Linked DNA regions of Macaca mulatta. The main gene of each other region encodes a partner of the protein of the gene in region 2 in a complex. Links are inferred from orthologs where the notes say so. Each region holds a gene or a part of one and is shown on either strand. Other genes may lie near its edges. The genes, in order: STRAP and GEMIN4.

Region 1 (3,808 bases), on a different chromosome or scaffold from region 2:
CTCCACCTCCTGTACTTAAGCAATTCTCCTGCCTCGCCTCCCAAATAGCTGGGACTACAGAAAAGCTAATTTTTCTTCTTTTTGTATTTTTATTTTAGAGACGGGGTTTCACCACGTTGGCCAGGCTGGTCTCGAACCCCTGACCTCAAGTGATCCGCCCACCTCAGCCTCCCAAGGTGCTGGGATAACAGACGTGAGCCACCACGCCCAGCCCGCAATGGTTTTATCTAGTAAAAAAACATAAATTACATTACCAATCCAGCAGTTTTTGCTTTTTCTTTTTTTTTTTTTTTCTTTTTCAGAGGATGTTTTGCTCTGTCATCCAGACTGGAGTGCAGTGTCAGGATCACAGCACAATGCAGCCTCAACCTCCCAGGCTCCAGCAACTCTCTCACCTCTGCTTCCCAAGCAGCTGGACTATAGGCATGTGCCACCACGACCAGCTAATTTTATTTTTTGTAGAGATGGGGGTCTCACTGTGTTGTCCAGGCTGGTCTCAAGCCATCCTCCCACCTCAGCCTCCTAAAGTGCTGCGATTTATAGGCATTAGCCACCATTCCTGGCCTCTTTACTTTTAAAAAAAAAGTAAATATCTTTCCATTTTTAAGTAGCCAAATTGTCTTTTGTTACCTAAAACAGAAAATGAAAGTATTTCTTGGACATACCTTACTGCACTATGAAAAGCAATAGATCGTCCATAAGTTATAACCAAAATCTCTCCCTCAGGAATATATTCCATACTACTAACAGACATATTAAAATTTAGAGATTTTACTTCTGTCATGGTAGCATGATCCCAAAGTCTGCAAAATAAAAATAAAAATATGATGATGTTTACTCATGTCAGAAAAAAGCTTATAAATTCTAATTACATCTGCAGATTAGCCAAAGAAAGAACAATCACAATTACAGAAAAACAACATTCATTCCAAGTCACAATTACAGATGATAAAAAGAAATTCTGGGTTTCTATATACAATGTCAAATTATGCATGACAACAGCTTGTAAGTAAAATCAACTTTAATACCTACATATACTTCCCAATTTGGCAAAACTACATAAGACAAGTTCGAATCTAGTCAATTTCAGCACTGCTATAAATAGTGGTTCTTACACTCTGTTTTTGTGAATCTAGCAATAGCTACACATCTTTCCAAAGAAATATACATCAGGTGTCAGCAAACAAGATTTTTGTATAGAATTTCAGAGGCTTCATGGACCCTCCCTTTAACCTGCCCACAGACCCAGGTTAAGAACACCTGCTTATAAGAGATCAGGATTTAATTTTCTTCTGAATTTTGCTGTCTGTATATACAAGGTGAGCATCCCTTATAGAAAATACTTGCGACCAGAAAGAAGTTGGATTTCAAACTTTTTCGGATTTTGGAATATTTGCATCAGACACTTACCGATTGAGAATCCCTAACCTGAAAACAGAAAATTCAAAATGCTCTAATGAGCATTTCCTTTAAGCATCAAGTCAGCACTCAAAGTCTCAGATTTCAGAGCGTTTCAAATTTCAGATTTTCAGGTTAGGGATACTTGACCTGTAATAGTAAATAGCTCCAGATAAATGTGACCTGGGTGCAACTTAAATTTTAATGTTCAGAACATTTTTTGCACATAATATTAAATGTATTTAAAATACAAGCTCTAAGGTAAAATATTTTTCAAATTTTAAGTTTGCTTTTTGTTTTTGAGACAGTCTAGCTCTGTCACCCAGGCTAGAGTGCAATGGCGCAATTTCGACTCTCAGCAACCTCTGTCTCCCAGATTCAAGTGATTCTCCTGCCTCAGCCTCCCGAGTAGCTGGGATTACAGGTGTGTGCCAGCACACCTGGCTAAGTTTTGTAATTTTCATAGAGACAGTGTTTTGTCATGTTGGCCAGGCTGGTCTAGTACTCCTGACCTCAAATGATCCATCCACCTCACCTCCCAAAGTGCTGGGATTACAGGCATGAGCCACCATGCCCAGCCTCAAATTGTAAATTATTTTAAAAAAAGTACTTACCGAACAGTTTTGTCATCAGCAGAAAGAATCTGTTTATCCTCACTGCACCACAGAGCTTTTTTTATACCAGAAGTGTGACCACTAATTTCCTTAGGTTCTTGAGATAAAACAATTAAAAGTACATTTGTTAATACATGATTTTTTTAACTGAACAATATTGAAACTATTATATATTTTAAAAAACACACATTTTAAATTAGACTGCAACTTTTCAAAGCCCAGCCCAATTCAAACCTGATATTTATACAGAATACAGTTAGTTTTTCCATACTGGAACATAAATTTACCTGCATGACAGGGACTCAAGGAACTACTATGCTTGCTATATGTAGCTGAGTGAATGCACCACTCACTCCCTCTAGGCTAAATTTCTGCACAACTGATAATATTCAAAAGCATTATTGTATCGCCATGAAATAAAATAATAATTAATGTGGCACAATTTAATAAGAACATGGACCTAGGAACAAGATAGTTGAAACTGATTCTAGTACTATGGCTAACTCTGGGACCTTCATCCAAGCAGCTATTGATAGTAACTAATAGGAAGTAAGAGTTAGAAGGAAAAAGGGAAACAGAAAGTGGGACAGCAATTCCCAAGAATGTTTCTACACTGTGAGGAAAACATTAAAAAAAAAAAAAAAAAAAAAGGAAGGGAGTTTAAATCTGTAGGAGATTATCCTTTCAAAGGACTTCAAAAAACCCTCACTGCTTTCTCTAGGGGCAAAAGCAGACACTGGAGGCAATGCCATTCAACACTATTTTCACCTTTGGGCATGTTACTTAAGTTTTTAACTTTATTTCCTTATCTGTAAAATGAGATAACAATGGTTACAAATGAGAATAGTGCTTAACAGATAACCTGATACACAGTAAAACCTCACTAAGTTGCTATCATTTCTGCTGCCAGCACAGCGAGAAAGAGCAACTTTCATAAAACAGCTTTGGGAAAGGCAGAGTATGAAAAATGTCCACCCAATCCCTGAACTACCTTGCTTTGACCCAATCCCTGAACTACCTTGCTTTGACCCAATCCCTGAACTACCTTGCTTTGCTGAATGAGTTGACAGATTAAGTGAGGTCAGAGTCCTTTCCTATGCTTTGGCATAAATTTATCAAAAAAGAAAGCAGAAAAAAAACCCTACATGCAACGGAGAATAAAAAAATCTGTAAATGGGCTTTGTTTCCTCACCTTAAAAATGTTTTCGTAACAAACTACCCTAACACTAAAACGTAAAATATTTTAAAAAGCTCTCAGAAATGGAAGGTATCTCAAGAGAACAACTGCTTAATTTCCAATGCGGTTCTGACTCTTATTACTCTTTTCAATGTTATAGATTTATGACTACATAAATGCCCACATAATAAAATTTCAAAGATACCAAACATATAATAAAACAAAATTATGTTTGTCATGTTTTGGTAGCTAAGTATATATATATATGGTGAGGGCAATGATTAAAATATTATAAAATAAAGTATGTAGAGTGGGGATGACACCTATAACTTCTGTAAAATGAGAGAATGCATAAAGGATTTCACCACCAAAATGTTAAAAAGTACACACCATAAAACCGCCTTAACAAAATTTAAAAGCAAATGATAAATTGGAATTCAATAAAGAATCTTTAAAAACCAGTAAGAAAAACATGAACACAACAGATAAATGGGCCACGGGTAGACAGGCAATTATTTCATAAAAAAGGAAATACGTTAAAATGGTATTCAACAGCATTTTAATCTCATGAATTTTCGCATTAATACAACAGAATTATTTTCTTAAATTGACAAAGATA
Region 2 (4,608 bases):
TAATGGGCACACAAGCAATCACACAGTCACAGGGTAATGGGCACAGAAGCAATCACACAGCCACAGGGTAATGGGCACAGAAGCAATCACACAGCCACAGGGTAATGGGCACAGAAGCAGTCATACAGCCACAGGGTAAAGGGCACAGAGCAATCACACAGCCACAGGGTAACGGGCACAGAAGCAATCACACAGCCACAGAGTAACGGGCACAGAAGCAATCACACAGCCACAGGGTAACAGGCACACAGCAATCACACAGCCACAGGATAATGGGCACAGAAGCAGTCATACAGCCACAGGGTAACGGGCACAGAAGCAATCACACAGCCACAGGGTAACGGGCACACAATCAGACAGCCACAGGGTAACGGGCACACAGCAATCACACAGCCACAGAGTAATGGGCACAGAGCAATCACACAGCCACAGGGTAATGGGCACAGAGCAATCACACAGCCATGGAGTAATGGGCACAGAGCAATCACACAGCCATGGAGTAATGGGCACAGAAGGAATCAGACAAGCCCTGCCTTCACCCTTTACAACCTTGCCTTGGGAACAGGCCTCAAACATTCTTCTACCTTTCAGGTAAACAGTCCACCCCACAGCTCCTTCTGGTCAAAAACAAGCTACTCATGGCCCTGCTCTGTGGGAGAAACCAGGGAGTAGATACAGAAAATACTGTGCTAGATTAAGCCTTCCTTCAGGGAACTAACGATTGACACAGACTTACCATGGAAAGCATCTTGGGATGTTTAATCAGACATGGGTTTAAATCCTAGCTCAGCCATTTAAAAACAATGTGATTCTGGCCACGTGCAGTGGCTAGCACTTGTAATCCCAGCTACTTGGCGGGGCTGAGGCAGGTGGATCCTTGAGGCCAGGAGTTCAAGACTAGCTGGGGTAACATAATGAGAACCCCCTCCATCTCCAAAAAAAAAAAAAAAAAAAAGGATGTAATCTTGGTCAAGTTGCTTCTCCAAGCCTTCCTTCTGCATATGTGGGGATAATACAGACTTCATGTTATAACTTTGAGGATCATGTGATATATACCAGTCAAGCCCTTTCTAGGGGGTTGGTATTGCTATCTCCTGACCCCATCTCTCCGGGACGCTATGATAGATAAATACAGCTACAATAAGAATCGGGTTACAGAGTCTAGTTAGGTACTCAGTAAATGTTGGTTTCCCCAAACCTTTTCATAGTTGGCAGGACCAGAATCTTGTCACTATTCTTTGCCTCCCCCAGCTCAGAAACATCAAAGGATATAGGCCTTTATCAGGCATGTTTCCTTTGGCCTAGAAACTAAAACGAGGGTACAAATACTGCTTCCTATTCCTCATTCCTGAGGCCTCTCCCCTCTCCTAGGATTGAGAGATGCTACTCCTTCCTCAGTCTCTCATGCCCACGAGAGCTCATATTCCCCATTTTCCCAGGCCAGACACCAGCAGAGAAAACGCTGACTCCAGGAAACTAAGGACCATCTTACCCTTCCCACCATTTATGAGAGCAGCAGCAGGACAAGGGTTCAGCACTATGTAACCCACTTGTGGAGGCAATCCATCTCAGCTCACAGTGGCTGAATCTGACTCCCAGGGAAGGTCAGGCTGCAGAGGGGACCTCTCTGGGGGTTACGGCCCTTCTTTCTGGCTCAGGAGGCTCTCCCAGGGTCCCAAAATATGGTCCCTCCTGACGCTGTAAATTTTATTTTATTGCATTATTGGATTAGCTGAGCAGATGTTTGGCCCTCAACACCTGCCTTCCAGGCGCAGTAAGTACCCACAGTTTGAAGTAGTAAGTCAGTTACTAGCTGGAAAACACTCCGGTGCTTCATCACGGATGGTTAATTAGTGCTTACCAGAGCCCGCTTCTAAGGTTTATTATGCGCCTACTCCATGCCAGGCACGGTGCTAGGTGGTGCACATGTAAGATCTCTTCGATTCACAACCACCTTTTGAGGACTATTATTCCGGTTTTAGAGAAGAAGACACTGAGGCGCAGAAACGATTTGCTGAGGGTGCCCCCGCCTGGATGTGGTGGGGCTGGGAAGCAATTACGGCTAAGGGGCTCCAAGCCCTAAGAGTTCTGCCATACCGCTCCTGAAGAGCTCTCTGGGGGCGGGGAACAGACCATTTCCCCCCAGCCTACTACTGCTGACACATCTCGGGGTGCCTCACCCCCAGCTCTCCCAGAACAGCCTCCTGGTCTTAGCAGCCTGTGTCGAGGCTTAGCAGGGAGCTCCTAGTTCCAGGGTTCCCCCTCTCCCAGACCTTGCAAGATTCTGAATCAGGACGCACGCAGGTTCAGAAAGTGACGCCTCAGGAACACAGCCGCCCCAACCGCGGTGTGACCCGCGCAGCCCTGCACGGGACACTGTGCCTCGGCGATCTCCATGAAAAGTCGCCCAACACTCAGTGGGGAGACACACTGTCATTCCCCCAGCTCTGTCGATGAGGAAACCTGATGAGCGTAAGACACTTGGAGCCTAAGACGCTTGCTCAAGAACGCAGTTGCCGTTCAGAAAATGAGGCCGCCGGGACACCCGGGGGTGCTCGGAGAAAGCCCGTTTCTCAAAGCACGTGCGCGAGCCCCGGGCCCCGGGCGTTTCCAGGGGCTCTCACTTTACGTCTGCTCGGTGTTTTCCCGCGGAGTGGGCAAGACCCGGCCCAACGCGCAGCGGGACCCGGACCACCCCCGTCAAGGCCACCCGGGGACCCCCAGACCCGCCCCGACGTGGTGGACGCTTTGGCCCGGGCCCAAGCGAGCGTGCGCGGCAGGAGGAGACGCGACGGGGCGGCACCGTCCCGGTGGCGCATCGCGAGACGCAGCCCGGGGCTGAGGAGACGCGACACCCACCTAGGTCCATGGCGGCGACGCCGGCGGCCGAGCGGGGCTAACGCCCCCTCTACTCCGAGAACGCGAACGCGGCGCGGGACGCACAGCACAATGGACGGCGCAGGCGCCACGGCGGCGGCGCTCAGGCCCCGCCCACAGTCTCCCCTGCGCACGCGCAGTCCTCACGAACGAGCGCGCCAAGCGCACAGCGCCGCCTTCCGGCAGAGGCCTCCCACCCACCCTCAGGTACCAGGCGTCGCTCCCCAGACCCTCCGCACCGTCCCCTGCCCTGGCCCGCTTCCGGGGTCTCAGCGGGTCCGGCTCACGAGTCCCCGGCCCCGCATTCACCCTCACCCGGTAACCCCGGGCGTGCCCCGCACACAGCTCACCGCCACCGAGCGCCTCCCGCGGGCCGCCCACTACCCAGCGCGGCCGCACCGCGCGAGCCTTCCACTCCCACGCGTCCAGTCCGCCCCCCACACAGTCCCTCAACGCGCTCCTGCCGCGCGGCGCCGCCCCCTTCAGACAGCAGCGGCCCGGATCCTAGACGCTTTTGACGGCTGTTCCTCCCCAGAAAATGCACCGTGTGAGCCCAAACGTGGTGGGGTGGCGCCAGTACGCGGGACCCCGAGCTTGCAGCCTGTGCTTGAGAAAACACAAACATCGTGTGCCTGCCTGCGTTCCCCCCTGAGATCGAGTAGTAACCGCCATTCCAACTCTCCACCTCCAGCTTCGAGCACCAGGCACCGCCTCCACCCCCTCATGTGCCAAGTGGAGTTCGAGCTGGCGCGCGCGGCCCTCAAGCAGCTGAAGGGTCCTGTGAGCGATCCGGAGAAGCTGCTGATCTACGGCCTCTACAAACAGGCCACCCAGGGCGACTGCGGCATCCCCGCCCCTCCGGCCTCAGACGTGAAGGCCAGGGCCAAGTGGGAGGCTTGGAGCGCGAACAAAGGGGTGTCCAAGATGGACGCCATGAGGAGCTACGCGGCCAAAGTGGAGGAGCTGAAGAAGAAGGAAGTGGGGGGCAGGGAGCGCGAACAAAGGGGTGTCCAAGATGGACGCCGTGAGGAGCTAGGCGGCCAGAGTGAGGAGCTGAAGAAGGAAGTGGGCGGCATGGAGCGCGAACAAAGGGGTGTCCAAGATGGACGCCATGAGGGGCTACGCGGCCAGAGTGAGGAGGTGAAGAAGGAAGAGGCTGGCTGAGGGCTCCTCGGGAATGGAAAGGGATTCTTAGACCTTGATGGCTGAAACGTCCTGAAACTGTCGCAAGCTTAGCCGAGACATCAATAAATCACTTAAACTGCGTGAGAGTGACCGACTGCTGTTGGAACAGAGGAACTGGAGGAACTCGGTGACTGAGTGCTGGGGAGGCGTCCAAATACACAGACTGGCTTTTTGTATGGTTTTGGGTGGAGTTCCCAGCCCTCCTATTACAAGAGCGTATGTAGGTATTTGGCAGGAGAGAGGGGCACAGTGTGCTGTGGAAACGCCCAAGATCTGAGGGCAGGAGACCATTCTCCAGTGACGGCCTCTTGGGAGGCTGAGGCCCCAGCCCCTTTTCTCTTCAAGGCGGATTCACTAATACCCCAACACCACAGAGGGGAGCGGGACTCTGTCCTAAACACTAAAGTCCAAAAGCCCCCACTGGAACACAGGGCCTACCAAGTTCATGTTTTGAGGGAGACCAAGCTTTCCGTGATGATAGTGCGGTGAAACAATTGATAGGTCAGAACACAGCAGCTGAGAAACAATGGAGCAGGTGCTGTCAAA

The links.
Region 1: GEMIN4 (region 2) and STRAP share a complex: the UniProt entries of both Homo sapiens proteins name them as parts of the SMN-Sm complex. The link is inferred for Macaca mulatta from reciprocal best matches to the Homo sapiens genes GEMIN4 and STRAP.

Annotation. Positions count from the first base shown.
Region 1 is NC_133416.1:18,364,064-18,367,871, reverse strand, and holds part of STRAP (serine-threonine kinase receptor-associated protein), read right to left. Parts: intron 2,110-3,808; coding exon 2,013-2,109; intron 804-2,012; coding exon 666-803; intron 1-665. UniProt on the Homo sapiens protein: The SMN complex catalyzes the assembly of small nuclear ribonucleoproteins (snRNPs), the building blocks of the spliceosome, and thereby plays an important role in the splicing of cellular pre-mRNAs.
Region 2 is NC_133421.1:2,295,111-2,299,718, forward strand, and holds the start of GEMIN4 (gem-associated protein 4), read right to left. Parts: upstream 2,870-4,608; coding exon 2,860-2,869; coding exon of another isoform or gene 2,467-2,859; exon of another isoform or gene 1,012-2,466; intron 998-1,011; exon of another isoform or gene 737-997; intron 1-736. Other genes in the region: uncharacterized protein LOC721152, read left to right, coding at 2,467-4,041. UniProt on the Homo sapiens protein: The SMN complex catalyzes the assembly of small nuclear ribonucleoproteins (snRNPs), the building blocks of the spliceosome, and thereby plays an important role in the splicing of cellular pre-mRNAs.